Saccharomyces cerevisiae S288C: one gene and its partners. The protein of the gene in region 2 purifies or fractionates together with the protein of the main gene of each other region. This does not show direct contact. Each region holds a gene or a part of one and is shown on either strand. Other genes may lie near its edges.

Region 1 (8,187 bases), on a different chromosome or scaffold from region 2:
ACACTTTATTCAGAAATGACCTTTTGAGATACAAGTTTACTAGGGGAAAGATCCATATGACATGGTAGTAGGTTTACCCTTCAAAACAACATAGATCGTAAAAAAGGTGGCTGAAGAACTTACTAAAAATGTTATATGCTTAGATTAATATATTGTCACCGGGCTACCAGTACAAACCCTTGATAATGCGACCAGACATCTGTTTTGACTTATTTATGAGCAATAATGGGTAACAAAAGAACGCTCTGAGGCAACTCTATGTGAGTCGAAACATATGTGTTTTTGGCAATTAAACAAAATACGAGAGATTCTTCTCAGAAAACATTGTCACAAGAACTTAGTATCTTTAATTTTCTGCAAACATACTGATGATTTCTTCGGCAATAGCAACTACGTGAGTTTCAAGCGCAAAATGGCCAGTATCATAGTAAACAACCTTTAAATTATCAACGTCTTTCCGATAAGCTTCAGCCCCGGCAACGCTAAAAATAGTATCATTCGCACCCCATGCAACTAGCACAGGAATCTTTGAATCTCTCAAGAACTTTTGAAAGGCTGGGTACAACTTTATATTATTCTGATAATCGAAAAATAATCTCAATTGAATATCGGTCTGGCCGGTACGCTGAATTAGCGCAATATCAAGCGTATAAGCGGCGGGATCAACAGATTCGATAGCTGGTACTCCATCATGGTACTGGCATATGACATTAGCTGGATCTTCAAGGTACGGGATAAGGGATTTAACAAATACCGGATCACTTTGATATGACTTCCAATATTCCTTCAACGGACCCCAAAAGCGGTCATCGAGACCCTCTTCGTAAGCATTACCGTTTTGAGTAACAATGCCAGTAATTCTGGAGGGAAACTTCAAGGCTAACCGAAAACCTACCGGAGATCCATAATCAAATATATACATGGCAAATTTTTCAATACTCAAAGTATCTAACAAATATCCTATACTTTCACAAAGGGAATCAAAGCTGAACTTGTAGTTTTCTGGCGTTTCCGTAAATCCGAACCCAGGAAGATCCGGAGCAATGATGTGAAACTGTCCAGCTAGTAAGGGAATGAGGTTCCTGAACATGTTGGAAGATGTAGGGAACCCATGTAGCAATAAAATTGTGGGGTTACCTGCTGCACCGGCCTCACGGTACCAAACCTTTACACCGTCTTGAACTTGAATCTTGTGAAATCTTGCAATGATATTTGACATTTTTGTCCTTCGTCCAATTCTGACAGTGAAAGAAAAGTGGTCAAGTTCAGTTAATTTGATCGTGCTTATATATGTTCTTTTTGGCTCCTATCACTTTTGGCTCCTATCACTTTTGAAATTTCTGTCACGATTATGTGCGGCGCAGTCCCTAGGCAAGTTACAGACGAATGGCATGCAGCGCCGTCTGTGGAAAAGATGAATACTGAATTATCATACCTTTAAATGACTATGTTAATAACAAAGGTGAATGGAGATTTAGAAAATGCACAATATTGAGAAAATGCATATGCGTACTTTTTGTTAGCAAACATACGATTATTTAGTCTATTAAAAAAATCTATTTACTCGTCCTCGTTGCGCACAGCAGTTGAATCAGGCTTGTGAATAGCACTACGTGCTGGCAATGCGTCTGGAATATTGCTAGTGGCAGGCTGGTCTATCTGTGACGTGTGCTCTTGTTCGGGTCTGTAAGCATCTTCTTGTTCAATTTCAAAATTACTGTCTTGACTTGTGAAACTGGATAAATCGTTAGCATCTTCATGCAAGCCATCTGATTCATCTGAAAACTGACCCTGAAGCAGCGAAGAGTAAGTAGGACCTTTTCTGTTGCCAAACCTTGCCCTTAATTTTGAAGAAAAGCGTGCTACACCTGCCTTCGTGCGTTGAAATGCAGACTTGGTAATTAAAGAAATGCATAATCCTAGTCTTACAATGATGTTGACAACTCTATCGGTCCTATTGTTTTCTATCAGCCCATCGTCTCCTAATCTTATTTCTTCAAATCTTGAAAATCCCCCATTTCTCCTGATACCTCTATCGTATACAAACCATGCGGCAAAGAAAATAACGAGAAGAATTGTAACAAAAACCAGCGCATAAGCGCCGGTGTTTATAGAATATTTTTCCCTGAATGCCTTTTCTTTTCCCGGACAAGGATGTGGTGCTAAATGTGCATCCAATTTCAGCCCACCTTTACAGGTTGATAAGGGAATTTTTCGATAGCCAGAGGAATCATAGTATTCAATTAAGTCGGGTTCCTTTTTGCAGATATCGGCACCATTCGCCGAACTTAAGCCTTTGACTAATTTACAAGTACCATCACTGGCTTTATAAAAATTATAGTCACATTCGAAATCTTGCCTCGTACATGAACAGTTTTTGACGTTCCTCGAAAATTCAGAAAGTGGAATATTCCCAATAAAACATTTTTCATCGGTTTTACGTAAAAACTCGGTTTGATGACCAAATAGACAACCAGTTCTGGAACCCAGAGGAGAGTACTTAAAATCTGCCCTTTTTTTACCCGTAATATCAAACTCACATTGCCTCTCGAAGATGTTTCTAAAATCAATTGTATACGTTCTGAATGAACCACTACCCATGTTTTTTGCTTCTCCAAATAGCAAAAACCTCAAAGCAGAATCTCTGGGAACGGTGATTATATCCTTTACGAGGACTTTGTCGCCACAGAATTTATAATCTTTCCATGTTTTACCAAAATCGGTGGAGTAAGAAATAGAATCAGTTTCTGCGTTTTCGGGGACCAAAACCAAGACTCCACCATGATCACCGTACTCCCATTGATGGGGGCCTTTTTTAACCTCAGTCCACGTCTCTCCTCCATCAGTGGTTAAAAAAGTGGAACACTCCTCATATGGTAGAAGCTTATCGCCAACATTTCCGACACCAAACATCATTCCTAACGCGGAACCGGAGGAATATGTATCCCTGATATCCTTACGTTCAGTGTAACCATGCAAATGTAGAGAACATTTATCTAATGATACAGAATCACAGGGAAACTTTTTCCCTTCCGAATCCTTCTTTGGAGGCTTCAAAAAGTTCCAATCTGAACCGTCATTAAAGGTGATTTTCGTCTTCAATTGTTCGTCTTCCTTGTTCTCTCCAACCTTTTCCCTATTCGAAACGATGTTGGTAATAATAATACCTTCAAGACCTTGAACTTTTTCAAAGTCGACATAACCGAATGTGTTTCTATTAACGGCATGCTCTAAAGTGACAAAAGAAGTACCATTCGAGTTGGATTTCAAAAGGTTTCCAAAATCGTGTCCTGATTCTAAGTTTGTTGCTAAATGTAAAAATATCGATCCTTTCTCAGATCCTAAAATAGTGAATGCCTCTTGCTTACTAACATCTTGACCATACGGGAATTTTGCCTCGGCAAACTCAGTACCATCAATAGTTACATATGCCCTCAACTCATTGTCTTCATGAGGTACGGCAACAATAATATAGCCACCAGTGGACAAGTAGCCGATAATGTTTTCAAAGATAATTTTATTATCACCTTGGAAAAAATCTATCGAAGAAACCAAGCTTCTTGTTTCTGAAGACTTCTTTTTTACTTGGCACATAACCATCTCCTCATTTGACGGATATTCAAAGAGTGTGCCTGCAAACTCACAATGAATTGCATTATCAAGCATTTCTGTAAAAGTTTCACCTCCATCTTTGGTGAGGTATGCTACTGCATGACATTCTGGACTTAAGATTGATTCACAATTCTTGCCACCATAGTAAATAAAAGTATCCTGTGCTTTAGCACTAAAATCTAGTGGCATACCTAATTGCCTGGCTTCAGGTAATTTAGCTATCATAAAAGAGTGTCCTCTATCGTGTGTTGAGAATATGTTACCTTTAGAGCCAAACAAATATGCTGAAGAATTGAAATATGGGTTAAACACAACTTCAACAATTTTTTCGCCGTTAGTGTCAAACCTTTTTATTGTTTGTCCACCATCGTGGGATATATAGGCGTCTCCTATCGAATTCAGCATGACCAAAGATTCGTCGGCAACTGTATCGAAGTATTGGTAAAATTTAATTTCGAAGTCAAATTTGTTTTCAGTGGTCACTATTTCCCTGTCACTCGAACCCTCCTCTGGAATTTCGTCACACGGAATATCAACGGGTTCAATTTTCATGGGTGTTTTACATTCATCACCTTTGATTAATTGTAATGGCTCTACTAACACAGATTTATCCTTCGATTTGTCACATATGTTGGAAAAGGCAATCAGATTATAATCTGGTATACACAGGCCGTTTGCGTCCCTAACAAATTCAAACGAACATTCGTAGTCGGATTCACCACAACTATTACAAGGCGTTTCATCTAAACTCAAATCTTTGAATGCTTTTTTTACCAAACACTGGGCGTCTTGTTTCCTCCTTCTATACTTGTATTTGGCGCCATTAACACATTTCCCATCCGCCAAATCCCAATCTTCAAAATCTTCCTCCTCACACGTTCTAGAGTCGAATGCTGCTGAAAAATCAATTATATACTCGACACCTTTTAAAGAAGTTATACTGTTGGTTTCGGAATCGGTAGTGGCAAACGTTCCTTTAAAAATAAATTTTGAGCCAGATCCATCTGGTGTTGGATTTATCAATTTGTAGGGATGGACAGAACTTATGGCATTGGTCAGCTCATATTCATTCCATGTTCTACCTTGGTCCAAAGAATAATAAAATTCAGATTGAAAATCGCCATCTTCCTCTGGATCATATGGGATATACACAATAATATTTCCCAGGTCACCAGTAGCATATAACCCAGAAGAATTATGAACAAATCTCCACGTTAAACCGCCATCTCTAGAGATGAAAGTTTTTTGGTCTTCCCAATCGAATTCACTACCGTCGCCAACGGAACCTGTCATTAACATAATTCCGGCAGTAGGATTTGAGATTTAGATACTATAAAAAGGGTTCTGGAGCGAACATCTTTCAGGCCTAGTGATATCACAAGGGAATGAATCTGCATTTTCCTCGTCAACCACTTTCAAATTTGACCATGTGAGGCCGTTATCAACAGATATTTTAGTTTCATATCTGGCTATCTTTTTATTATATTTTCCTTTGTTATGAGAGTAGTCAAAGGAAGGATGAAACGAGCCAATTATTGTTCCTTCTAAGAAATGAGGAGAAGCAATATCAATATAACCAAAGTGAGGATTTATTGTCCATTCAACAGGTAAAAATTTCAACCCTTGAGAATCTGATATTAAAATTTCTGAGGGAGCTGGTTGGTCGTTTTTTTCATCTGTGAATATCGTAGATATAGGAATGATTATTCTTCCAATAGAATCTTCATAAATTCCATACATATGGACGTGCCGTACTTGAGCAGGTAGACGTGCCTTTTGAAAAGTAGACGCATCATTGGATATCCAGATGTCCATGGGTGACATTTCATTGTATCTATCATCTTGTGTCGAAACGATTATATGTGATTTTAATATCTTGTATTGATAAATAATTTTATCATTAAACTCATCAAATTTTTTGAAAGTTTTACCTCCATCAGTACTTAAGGCTAATTGTGTATATGCGGCACTTAAGTGACGATCGCTATCGTAACCATGGTTCGAGAACAAACATAGTATCGAAGCGTCGTTACCCTCAATATCAGAATCCTTGCTAGATTTGACAAAGTTGCAGCTTGAACTTGTTATATGGTCATCTTCTTTCTTTTTCAAGGAAGGTTCGATATTGTAAAAGGATTCCCCATCGTTGGTAAAGTAAGTTTCATTTTGTATTTGGATATAACCATTGTCGTTTATAAAGCAAGGGCAATCTGCAATAAGGTACTTTTTATCTGTCGGATGGGTAGCTATAGAGCAAGAAGTACCCAAACGACAGTTTTCAGAGACGGGTATAGTCAGAGCCCTCCATGATTTTCCACGATCATCGGTGACGTAAAATTTGGGTGATAAATGTATCGAAACAAAAGCCCTGTCCTGTCCATGCAAAGGATCAACAATTAATTCGAGAATATGCCCTTCAATTTCTTTGACCGCTTCCCAATTTTCTCCAGAATCGGAACTTATCCACACGACTTGATTATCTAATCTGATTAAACTGTTGGAATCGTCAAAGCTCTCTAGACTAAATGAATATTCTGAAAGAGTCTCCGTTACTTTGGGGACGAATTCCTCTGCATTGAGTAACGGAATAAAGAGACATGTCCAAATCGTGCATATGACTTGGAGTAATATCATAATTGAGGATCTCTTACCTTTTCTTAGTTCAAAGCTTTTTTTCAAAGCTCGGAACTTTATGCTACGATTCAATGACTAAAAAAAAGGTAGCGGATAATCTTTTGGTTGCAAATTGGCGGCATTTAAATATATTTTGGGTTGCAAATATTCTAAAAATATTCTCATAATATTCTAAAAATATCTAGCCTAGGTAATTGCAATTATTTTGAGTCTGGTTATTTTGAGTTGACCATGTTCACTTCCTTTTCAGTCATCAAGACAACGTGTTTACCATCTAATGGGGAATCAAACAGATAAAACTAGAAACTGAGCAAAAATACTTTGATTTGCTAATGTCGCCAGTAGTACGATAATACTATAAAGATATGCTGTTGAAGCTGATATTTAAAGAATGAGAATCTCTAAGGGATCATAGTCTAGAATGGTATTCTGCAAAACAAATTTTAAATGGTGAAAACTTTTCCTCACTATGTCCAATTGATGCTTCTTAGGATGACGTTAGAATTTTATTTTAGTGCAGGCATTACCTTGCTAAGTTCATTCATTAAAGTACTAATATACCTCTTACTGGCATGCATTTACCTAAGTGGTCTCCGTTAGCCGTGGTCTTTTCGAACGCAACAACTTTCAAGTTAAGTAAAAATGATTTATTCTATAAAATATGTATGTAGTGGGAAAGACTCGACAGACCTGCTTGCCAAGTTCTCTTTCTAAGCAATTGAGTTGGCCAGTCCCCCTGAAAATGCTAATGCCCATGTGCGACTCATTCCGTTATCCAAATATGTGGATGAATCAAAAGTTGAATCACTGAAAAATGCATACGAATCTACTGGGTCGAAGAGTGCTTGATTCAGCTTCAATATGCCTGTCCAGCCGCTTTCTATCGATTCAATAATTGGCTCGATTTTAGTCTGCCATTCTTCTTCGACGAAAGTCTCAGAACGAATATTAGAAGAAACTGGTGTGATAGGTAGCATATGAATACCGTGGATATATTCTGTGTTTGTTCCAAAATAAGTAGTATAATCGATAATATTATCGAATAAAATACCACTCACTTTATTTCCTATGATTTCTTCAGGCTCAACTGTGTTGTCATTTTGATAATAGAAATAGTCGTTCATTGCATCCTTCATTATACTAATCATCAAGTCACCCCTCAATTCCATTGACTGGTCACCGATAGTGGCCCCCCATAACTTCATAGCATAGGCAAAATTGTAATCTTCACTACTACTTTCTTCGTTCTTACCGTTACCGTTTTCATAAAGTCCAGCTGCCCATGAATGACCGTTGAACCAATCAAACATTCTCGATTGTGCAAAGTATTCATCTTTTTCAGATGGATTTGCGACATCTCTTACCAATGAATTGACCCAATCTTTATTGTCGGCAGCCCAAGTACCATTCAGTTTAGAGTCAACATAGCCGATGACAGCAGCTGCATGAATAATGTAACCATAATGGAAATGATGGTCATTGTAATAAGTGTTACCAAAATCGTATTGCGTGCTGGTGGAACCCCAATCTCCTGAACTGACCAAACCGTTGAACTTTGTGTCGTAAATTAGTGGATACGTCTGTTCATTTTGTAGCAGAATATCAAAGGCCGATTTGATGTTTTCCAAAGTACTCTTAGTACTGGCTTCATCTTGGATGATTTCGGAGACCGTTAATAGAATGTAAGAATACTTATCGATAACTTTACCCAAATAATATGTGTTTAACCCGCTTATACTTTCGGAAATACTAACCTGTAATTCGGAATTGGCAACTTCAGCTAATAATTGCAATTGTTCTTTAGAATACTCTAAAAGGTTTGAGCCAAGTTGAGAAGACCATGGTAACCAAGATATTTGTCTGTTTAGAGATGTGGAAAATTGTAGGCTCGTTGTTAGATAACCGTTCATTACACCCTTAGTTGTAGAAGCGAGTTGAATG
Region 2 (3,283 bases):
TAATCCCGTGATGTTTATGCAAGATAGCGAATTCATGTAGATCGCGCCATGCTGTCTTTGCTTTTGTTGGGACCATATTGATACTATATCTATGATTAGGATCTTTTCGTCCCCCGTAGTACAATTCACCAACTTTTGCAGCGCTACCGAAGGTTTAAAATCACTTTCAATGATGTGCAAGAACCCTAGTTTACTCTCCTGCTCTTCACTAATTAGGTTTCTTAATTCATTTGGTAGGTTTATATAGTTCTTGGTTGATGTGATGAAGTTTGACAAAGGATAAATTCTAATGTTCTTTAAAACTTCCATCCCATTCCATTCGCTACTTCCTTTCTCTTTTCCTAAGAATTTTCATTATTAGAAGGAGTAATGCTTACGGTACACATACATACACATATATATATATAAATATATATATATATAAGGACATATACAGATTTTTTTTTTTCGCGTACTAAAGTACAGAACAAAGAAAATAAGAAAAGAAGGCGATCATTGAACTACTGTGACTTGCCAATATGGTCTAAAAATTTGTCAATTTCACCTGAAGAACCCAACCAAATAGAAGATTTGTCATGGATATGACTTGGCACCAAATCCAAGATTCTCTCTCCGCGATCGTTGACCGCTTTTCCCCCTGCTTGTTCCATTAAGAAAGCCATTGGGAAGGCCTCATAAAGCAACCTCAGTTTTCCGTTGGGGCTCTTCTTGTCGCAAGGGTATGCGAAAAGGCCACCGTAAAGAAACGTCCTGTGAACATCAGCAACCATGGATCCAACATACCTAGCCGAGAAAGGCTTGTTGTTGTTGTCTGCTTGGGGTTGTTTGACTTTCTCAATAAATGTTCTTATAGTCTCGTTCCAGTAGAGGGTGTTACCTTCATTAATTGAGTAGATGGCCTTTTGAGGCGGAATTCTTAAGTTAGGATGAGTCAAGATGAATTCGCCCAAGTTTGTGTCTAAGGTAAACCCATCAACTCCATCACCCAATGTCAATACTAGATGCGTAGAGGATCCGTACATGGCATAGCAAGCGGCTACCATTTCTTTACCACATCTCAGTACGTCGTTTATAGTACCTGATGAGTCTGGTAGCAGTCTGAATATAGACGCGATAGTTCCAACGGAGACACCGGCGTCCAAATTTGAGGAGCCATCAATAGGATCACAACACACTGCGTATGAGCCCGTGTTTGTGGGAAAAACGATCAAGTCTTCCTGTTCTTCAGATACAAGGACCTTGATGATCCCACTAGCCCTCATGGCATTGATAAATATTTCATCACCTAGAACGTCCAACTTCTTTTGCTGGTCACCAGTGAAGTTGGAAGCGCCTGCTAACCCAACCAAGTTAACCAATTCAGCACGTCTGATGGTGTGAGATACAAATTTGAACGCGAATTGCAAGGCATTCAGTACTAATGTGAAATCACCAGTAGCGTTCTTAAATTGCTTCTGGTGCTCGATTATGAATCTAGGAAGAGTGATGATATCGGTATCAAACCCTTCGGTAGAGTCTCTTCTTGGTCCATTTACTAGAGTTGGCATATGTGTGGTAGTATGAGGGATGTTTCTTATATGTTCGCACTGTTATTCTTAGGCCTATCATACAAAAAGCAAGATCAAGACAAAATACACGTCTGTAATTGCACTACTTGTTGCTCCATATATATACGTACATTTGTTAGCGAGTGAAATGGATAATATTGCCTATACATAGGACGATCCTTATAATATAGTGTGGGGAAGATGCCACAAGTTGGCAAGCGACAGGAAGAAACCAAGCAAACCAAAAAAAAAGTAGTGGGTATTGGCCAGTTCGGCAATCTTCGCCTTCAAATTCCCTGTCTCAACTTTTTAAGCTTTCTTGATATGTGGGAATACCAGGCTATTGCTGCCTTGCGTTGGCTCTTACGCCCTTAACATTACCTAGCTTTACTACATAATGAGCTTTCGGGCCCGCATAACTCCGGGTGTCCGCACGACCGCGACTACTAAGAATAATAATAATACCCCGGAGGTGAATTCAAAAGCGGCGATTCCATCCGTCCGGAAAAGAGAGCAGAAGTTAGCCCGGGACCATGCAGTTTGATGGGTTGTCTATCTTAGACTGGAAAATTCGAAGAACTCATCCTTGTTAGCTCAGTTGGTAGAGCGTTCGGCTTTTAAGCGCATTTGCTTAAGCAAGGATACCGAAATGTCAGGGGTTCGAGCCCCCTATGAGGAGTTCTTTACTTTTTTTTTATCAACTTCCTTTGCTTCACGCCTATTATAAATTTAGATCGCGTATGATATTGTTAATCGGCGGTTAGAATTTATAAAAATCGACGATTTTCTAGGAATTATTTGCGCATACATATATATAGTTATTTAGCTCTATACAGGTGTAAGAAGGCGTTGATAAAACTATGGTAACAAAATAAAAAAATAGAGGGAGGGGTGTGGCTAAATGCGATTTTTTTTTTCTTTGGATATTATTTTCATTTTATATTCACATCAAATCAGAAAATCCTGGAACGAGGTTCTTAGTAAACCCACCTTCCTTGGCGGCAGCTTCGTAGTAGCCGTAGATGGTGGTAGTAGCCATCAAAATGGATGCCCCAGAACCTAAAGTACCTAGTAGGTCGGAGCCAACAGAAAGAGCACCGATGGTAGCACCGCCGAAAGCAGCAGCAGTTGGAATGATCTTCTTCAATTCTCTGTAAATGGAGGTTTCTCTCTTACCGTTAATGACCATGCCTTGATCTTTGAATTGTTTGGCAATGTCACGTGGGGAAGTGCCGGAGATTTCGATCCATGTCTTGGAAAATACTGCGCATGAACCAAGAACAAATGTGATGTAGACGATGGTCTTGATAGGGTCCAGAAGAGCTTCGGATAAAGACATTAATGGTTGGATGTAGTAGGCCAACCCGCTCAAGGCCATTTGAGGGCCCTGGGTGCCCGGCCTGATACCCCAAACACCGATCAAACGAATCAATGGATTGGTTGGGTATTTCTGGAAAAGGATTTGAGAGATCAAGAAAATGTTAGAAGTCAATGCACTCTGCAACATGATTGGGGTGTTGGAAGTATAAAAGAGTTTGATGGGGTAGATACCAATTTGACCTCTCACTTTGGTTGACCTGATGGGCAATTCGTAACGGAAGCCTTGTAAATATAAAACAAAGAGGAAGATGGCCACGGTCATCAACACTTGGAACATATTAGGTAGATTGGTACGGTAAAAGGCCTCGACAAGGGCTCTTTTCTTGTCCTTTCTGACAGCCAAAAGATGGAAAAAG
Region 3 (5,866 bases), on a different chromosome or scaffold from region 2:
AAAACTGTAATACCACCAACGCCCAGTCCTGAGATGATTCTTCCAATGAAATATTGATACCATTTGTCAATGGAGGCGATTTGGATGATGATCCCAATTGAGTAAATGACGACAACAGTCATCAGACCAATCTTACGTCCATACATATCACCGAGCTTTGACAAAACTATACCTCCGATAGCGCAGCCGATGTTGAAAATAGAAACCATCAAACCGGTTCTGACATCGGAAAGATAGGTAGTCCCGTTTGCACGGGTGCTGCCAAATCGCCTAATGAAGTCTGTTTGCCTGACAAAACCAGATATAGTACCAGTATCCCACCCAAACACGAACCCACCAAAAGCAACCATCAAACAGCAGACGGATACAAATAGTAAATCCGACTTCGATTTCTTCTCTAGTTGTTTGTCAACCTCCTTCTGAAGCTCTTCCAGTTCGTCTTTGGGAGGGCCTTCATGGGAAATGTAACTTGAGACGGGTTTAGCTTGTGCCAAATTATCGTTGTAACCGGCGGTACCAGGAGCAGTCGAGTTTCCTGACTTCTCGTTGTATGAGTTAGAATTTGTGCTCACAGTAGCAGACCCTTCCAAGGGGCCTTGATGAGCGTTTTCAAGTTCCGACATTCTTTCTTTACCTCTAATATATTCTTTTTTCTAGAAAAATAATATTTTTTGCTGGTTTTAACAAAGCTATGAAGTAAAATTGCAAAGTGAAAGCGAATCTTGTTTGCGTATATTATATATAGAAAAATTATTCAATCGACTTTTCTCTTTCTTTTGATAGTTTCTTATTCTTAGAGGGAGAACCGTTCGACTAGCATGAAAAGAAAAGAGAGAGACTCTTTTATACGTGAAATCAAAAAGAAACCAAACTTGAGGTACTCTACTAATGATTCTGGCCCTCCTTTCTTGTTTACTCCGTGCCCCTAAAACTAATTAACCCATGCCCATATATTCATCCACACGACCATTAATATTGAACATAAAGATATCATTTCACCAAGCAGTACTTCACTCAATAACAAGGTGTGAAATCCGGTATATTATTCCATCGCTATGAGTGCGGGATCAGAAAGTGAATTACTTACTGTCCCCTAATGTGCACAGCCACGGGGAATGCGGATCAACTGCAGAGAAAAGGGCGCACAGAGTTAGAATGCATCCCTTAATCCGGGAAGTAACAGTAACACGTCATGCGGATGTTTCTTCGGTGGGTATGGGTCACAATTTCGTCCACCAGTACATCACAGCATGCTCTCATTTCTTTACTTTTTGCTAGCAGATGATTACTTTCATTTCGGGTGGGATGGGCCACCTTTTTAGTTTATCCTCCGGGATGCCTTAAACAAGAAAATGGAACAGTGGGGATAAGACCCATAAAAAATCCGAAGTGATAAGTATTGATTGGTATATTCCCGTATCGGAGACCTTAACATAACATAGTGTAGTGATTTTGCGTATAGAAAAGTAACCAATAAAATAAGGTAAATATTGCTATATGAATGTAATAAATAAAATAATATATGGGCGCAACAAAAAGAACGCAAGAAAGAAGCATTGATCAGTGCTTTTTACTAGTTTTCAAGCTTTTCACCCTCCTTAATAGCTTGTTGCCGGTGTTTTCCTTTTTAACAACATCTTCGTGACCGCTTCCTTGGGTGGCAGTGACCGGAACAGAAGTTCTATTATCGTCTACGTCCTTTTGCTCCAAGTGTCCACTATGTGTTTTCACTAGCTTTAAATTGTTGTTGTTCACTTGTAGATGTCTTCTTGAGGGGAGAGACTTTTTTCTTGCTATGCTGTTTTTCCTACGAGATTCTTGTGCGTGGTTGATAACATCTTGCTCTATGGCAGCGGAAGACGCTGGTGCGCCATCCAGGAACGTCGTTGAGCCTAGACCCATCGTAATGGGCCCATGGACTAGTTCAGTTTTCATTTTGGAATCGAACTGGGTAATATTTTTTGAATTCGGTTTAATCGCATCCAAAGTCGTAGTACTGGAATTGGCCTTATTGAATAAATATGCTCTATCTTGTAGTTGGTTCAGCGTCTCAGAATCGTCGTCTACTGTTTCCCTACCAAACACCTCATCTAAGGTAGACTTCTTACTTGTGCGGCCGCCTACTGTATTATTTGGACCATCTGCTGGGAAGGCCAGTACAGGCGCCACTTTATTATTCTTATTTCTCTGTGGAGTGCATGCATCAAAGGGGCCGTCATGATGGAAAGATCCGCCAAATAATCCTGTAACATCCATCTTGTCAATAGTGTCTACATTTTTAGGGGGCTTAACCTTGGTTCTGCTTTTGCTCTTCTGCTTATCTTTGTCCCTATGTCCGTGTGATGTACGACGATGGTGGTGGTGGTTGTGTTGGTGACTATTTGAACCACTACTGCGTTTCTTTTCTTTTGGGTATGGAGCTTGCTGTTTCGGTGTCCCCGCAGCTTCTTCATATGATGGGAGTCTTTCTTGTCTAGAATTGGAAACGCTACTGTTATGGGCCCTCCTAGTGTCATCTTCATTTAAAAATGGGTTACTGCAATAATTATGGATTATCTCAATCGATTTTGAAAGGAGAAAAAGAGTTAAGTTAGTATTCTGAAGTAGTCATGACTGTTAGTTACACTGTAGTGCAATTTTGGGAGTGGAGCTACACATACTTATAATTCCTGGGCGTTTCATCCCTGCTTGATACTCTGTCCTCTGAAGGAGAAACTCTGAAGGGGTTAATCACTGTATTCACGCCATTTTGAGGACCGCCTATGGTCCTTCCTGTTTGATTCATTTGCGTCTGTTTGATATAGTATTCTTTGGAAAAAACGCTTCTGAAATACAAAATAGTAGTAATTTTGCAAGATTTACCAGAAGACAGTCAAGAAAAAATAAAGATAAAAGAGGAAGCAAAGCTACAGTTTTATCCCTGTAATTATGAGATTCTCTCATCCTATGTAGAATTTCACCCTTTCTCTGCCTGCGTTTCACATACTGCCTTTTTTTTTTTTTTGGCAGTATTCTCAGCATAGTCAGCGTTTCGCTGCCGAGAGCCCTTCTGTGGCTGGAACCCCACCAAAACACGAACCCAAAAATACTTCTCCTGTATTCCCCTTGATCAACGCCTTTCTACATGAGGAGGCGCAGGTGAATGCAGAAAGGCACAATATAGCCAACACGTAAAAATCACAATCATATCAGTCTATTCATTCATTTACGTATTTAATTATTTAGTAATGGATATACGAACCGCATCGGCCACAGCCACAACAATATGTCGTTATTTCCAGTTTTCTGCGTGTAAGCACAGGGTCTCCTTTGAGCGAGGCTCAAAACTGCACAAATTTTTGATGGATATTTTCGTGAGTTGCGGCAGTCGAGACTTTAATGAAATCGTCTTTTTGAAGTTTTTCTTGAATTTTTTTATGCATTATCACCAAGTAATTGTCATATGATTCGATTCTGTTGACGGTCTTGTCCTCGCAAAGCAATTGACTCATCACATTACTGTAATATTGATCAACATTAGGCCTCAACAAGACTAACGGCAATGATGACTTGTTGACTACTTGTTGCCAGTTTTTAATGACGTTTGAAGCCTTTTGATTAATACTAGTGCCCGTCTCAGGCAATGTTCCACTAAATAACGAAATTTGGCTGACGGGCAAGGATTCATCCACTGACAGCAGGTCTTGCAAGAGCATTCTATTGGTGTTCTCATTAAACCATAGATAGATAGTATCACCTTGGAAAATCAAGTAGCAACCGCCGTTAATGAAATTAGAGTGTGAGGCTCTTACAGATAGATTATTAATAGAGCTGGAGTTGATCTGTAATAATTTATCATTAGCATCGTAAAAGGTCAGATCAGTTTCCTCTAATAATACATGGAATGGCACAATTTGTGGATAAAGTTTGTAGCAAAGTTGTGCTGAGTTCAATGAATCGTACTTCAATAAATCATAAATTCGTTCATTACCACGGGTACTTTGAGCGTTTGGCTTCATTAATTCGCTTTTTTCAAATGCTAACATGTAAGCAGGCAATGTCTTTATAGAATCCGGCAGTATCAATTGCGTTGATGAGTTACTGCTAACCAATCCTCTATATTGGGTCAAGATTTCGACCATCTTGTCATCAATTAATCTTCTGATCTTTACAAAGTCACAATCACCGAGCGTCTTTATGACATCTTTGATCATTATTCTCATGACAGGATTTTGATTTATAAACTTGAAAATTTCACGAATGTTATTAGATACCGCACCTGACGTGTTAATAGAACGAACTTTTCTGACACCATCAATATCAGTATATAACAATGCAGTTTGGAAATGAACATCGGTTCCTGTTTTTATTTTACTGTCATATTTTAGTAAGACATCTAAGGTGGTATCTCTAGTCAATACAGGAATAATTGGATCATGATCCGTATTATCAGATGAATCGCAGTAGTACTGTTCCACAGATAGCCCAGTAGAACAGCGAACTTTCAATAAAGCTTGATAACCAACAATATTGGAGACATTTGTAACCATGTCGTTAACCAAAGTGAAGGCATCCGTCTCTTGTTGAAAGTGGGGATAATATTTCAAAATACCGGAAGTCATCTCTACAGGATGGCCCACAGTGGCCATATCAATGAATCCCGCATTGGTCACATATAAATCTAAAGAAATGTAGGATTTCAAAAAATCCGATGCTAATTTCTTATAGAACCCATTGTCGCATTTAACATGAGCAATGTGTGCATTGTCCCTTTTTAGCGATAAATTCCCGTTGCCGATCGTTGGCAAGCTGTTCAAAGAACAAATAATCTTACCACCTTGCCCGCCAGTTACTGTGTCTAACGCTAATTTTGCGGCTTGTAAAGCAGAACCATAACAGACTTGGGGTACGTGACTATACTTGTCGGTGGAGATGTAACCACTAATTTTTATCAATGTGTCATTAATGATTTTCATCGAGTTTCCGGGTTTAACAAATAATCCATTATAAAATGGTAAGAAAACATCGTCCAATTCACTTACAATGTACTCTTGTGCATTATCTAAATCTGGTCTCAAATTAAAGAACCGCAACTTATTATCATAAACGATTATAGCAACCTCACAATTTGGCTGGAAATCTGAAATATACTCAATACATGACCTGACACCTTCCACCATGGCTAAAGAACTTCCGTTCTCATTAGCTAACAATGAAACATCAATCAAAAACACGTAGTGTAGTGGTAAAAGCTCCTTCTCCTGAATAGCATTGTAAATACTTGGCACCAAGAAATCGACTGTTCCGTGCAATAACTCTGATTTTTCGTTCAAATCACTTCGTTGCCCATTGGGACCCATGGGCGCAAAATGCTCACCTGGAACTTGCATCTTAACTCTACAAATATTACAAATAACACTTGAATCATAAGTGAACTGAAATTTAGGATTAGCATACGCACGACAACGTCTACAACGCAAAGGCGTACCATCCATTGGTAATGGAATTGTGGGAACTTCTGCATCATTCGGTGTCAAAGTGGAAAATGGTTGGATGGTTAATCCAAGTGGTAGCTTCGTGGCGGCTCTCAAGTGTTCACTTTCGGGGATGTTGTACATGGATAAACTCATCAAGTGCGGATCACATGAACCTTGGTCAACACAATAAAACTGGGTGGTCGGCAAGGGCGGAACAGAATCTCTACAAGTTTCGAAAGATCGTTGTAAATATTGAGCTTGATCTTCAAATCTTTGAGTTGGAACAATGTGAGATGTAGGTTGAGGCGCTGTCATATCAAGCATAGATTGACCATATGGCGAGGAGGCCTCACTCGCACCGAATCGCTCTTGACTCACCATTACAGGCGTGGACATAACGGAACCCGAAC

What was found. The genes of interacting proteins can lie anywhere in the genome.
Region 1: the proteins of FBP1 (region 2) and YNR065C purify together in Saccharomyces cerevisiae (affinity purification with western blotting, with the first as the bait; one study listed by BioGRID). This does not show direct contact.
Region 3: the proteins of FBP1 (region 2) and PAL2 purify together in Saccharomyces cerevisiae (affinity purification with mass spectrometry, with the first as the bait; one study listed by BioGRID). This does not show direct contact.

Annotation. Positions count from the first base shown.
Region 1 is NC_001146.8:748,790-756,976, forward strand, and holds YNR065C (uncharacterized protein), read right to left. Parts: upstream 4,912-8,187; coding exon 1,561-4,911; downstream 1-1,560. Other genes in the region: YNR064C (epoxide hydrolase), read right to left, coding at 347-1,219; YNR066C (uncharacterized protein), read right to left, coding at 4,936-6,246; DSE4 (endo-1,3(4)-beta-glucanase), read right to left, coding at 6,957-8,187.
Region 2 is NC_001144.5:873,246-876,528, forward strand, and holds FBP1 (fructose 1,6-bisphosphate 1-phosphatase), read right to left. Parts: upstream 1,548-3,283; coding exon 501-1,547; downstream 1-500. Other genes in the region: PSY3 (Psy3p), read right to left, coding at 1-309; translocon subunit SEC61, read right to left, coding at 2,491-3,283.
Region 3 is NC_001140.6:295,825-301,690, forward strand, and holds PAL2 (Pal2p), read right to left. Parts: upstream 2,786-5,866; coding exon 2,661-2,785; intron 2,537-2,660; coding exon 1,561-2,536; downstream 1-1,560. Other genes in the region: hexose transporter HXT5, read right to left, coding at 1-623; SFB3 (Sfb3p), read right to left, coding at 3,321-5,866.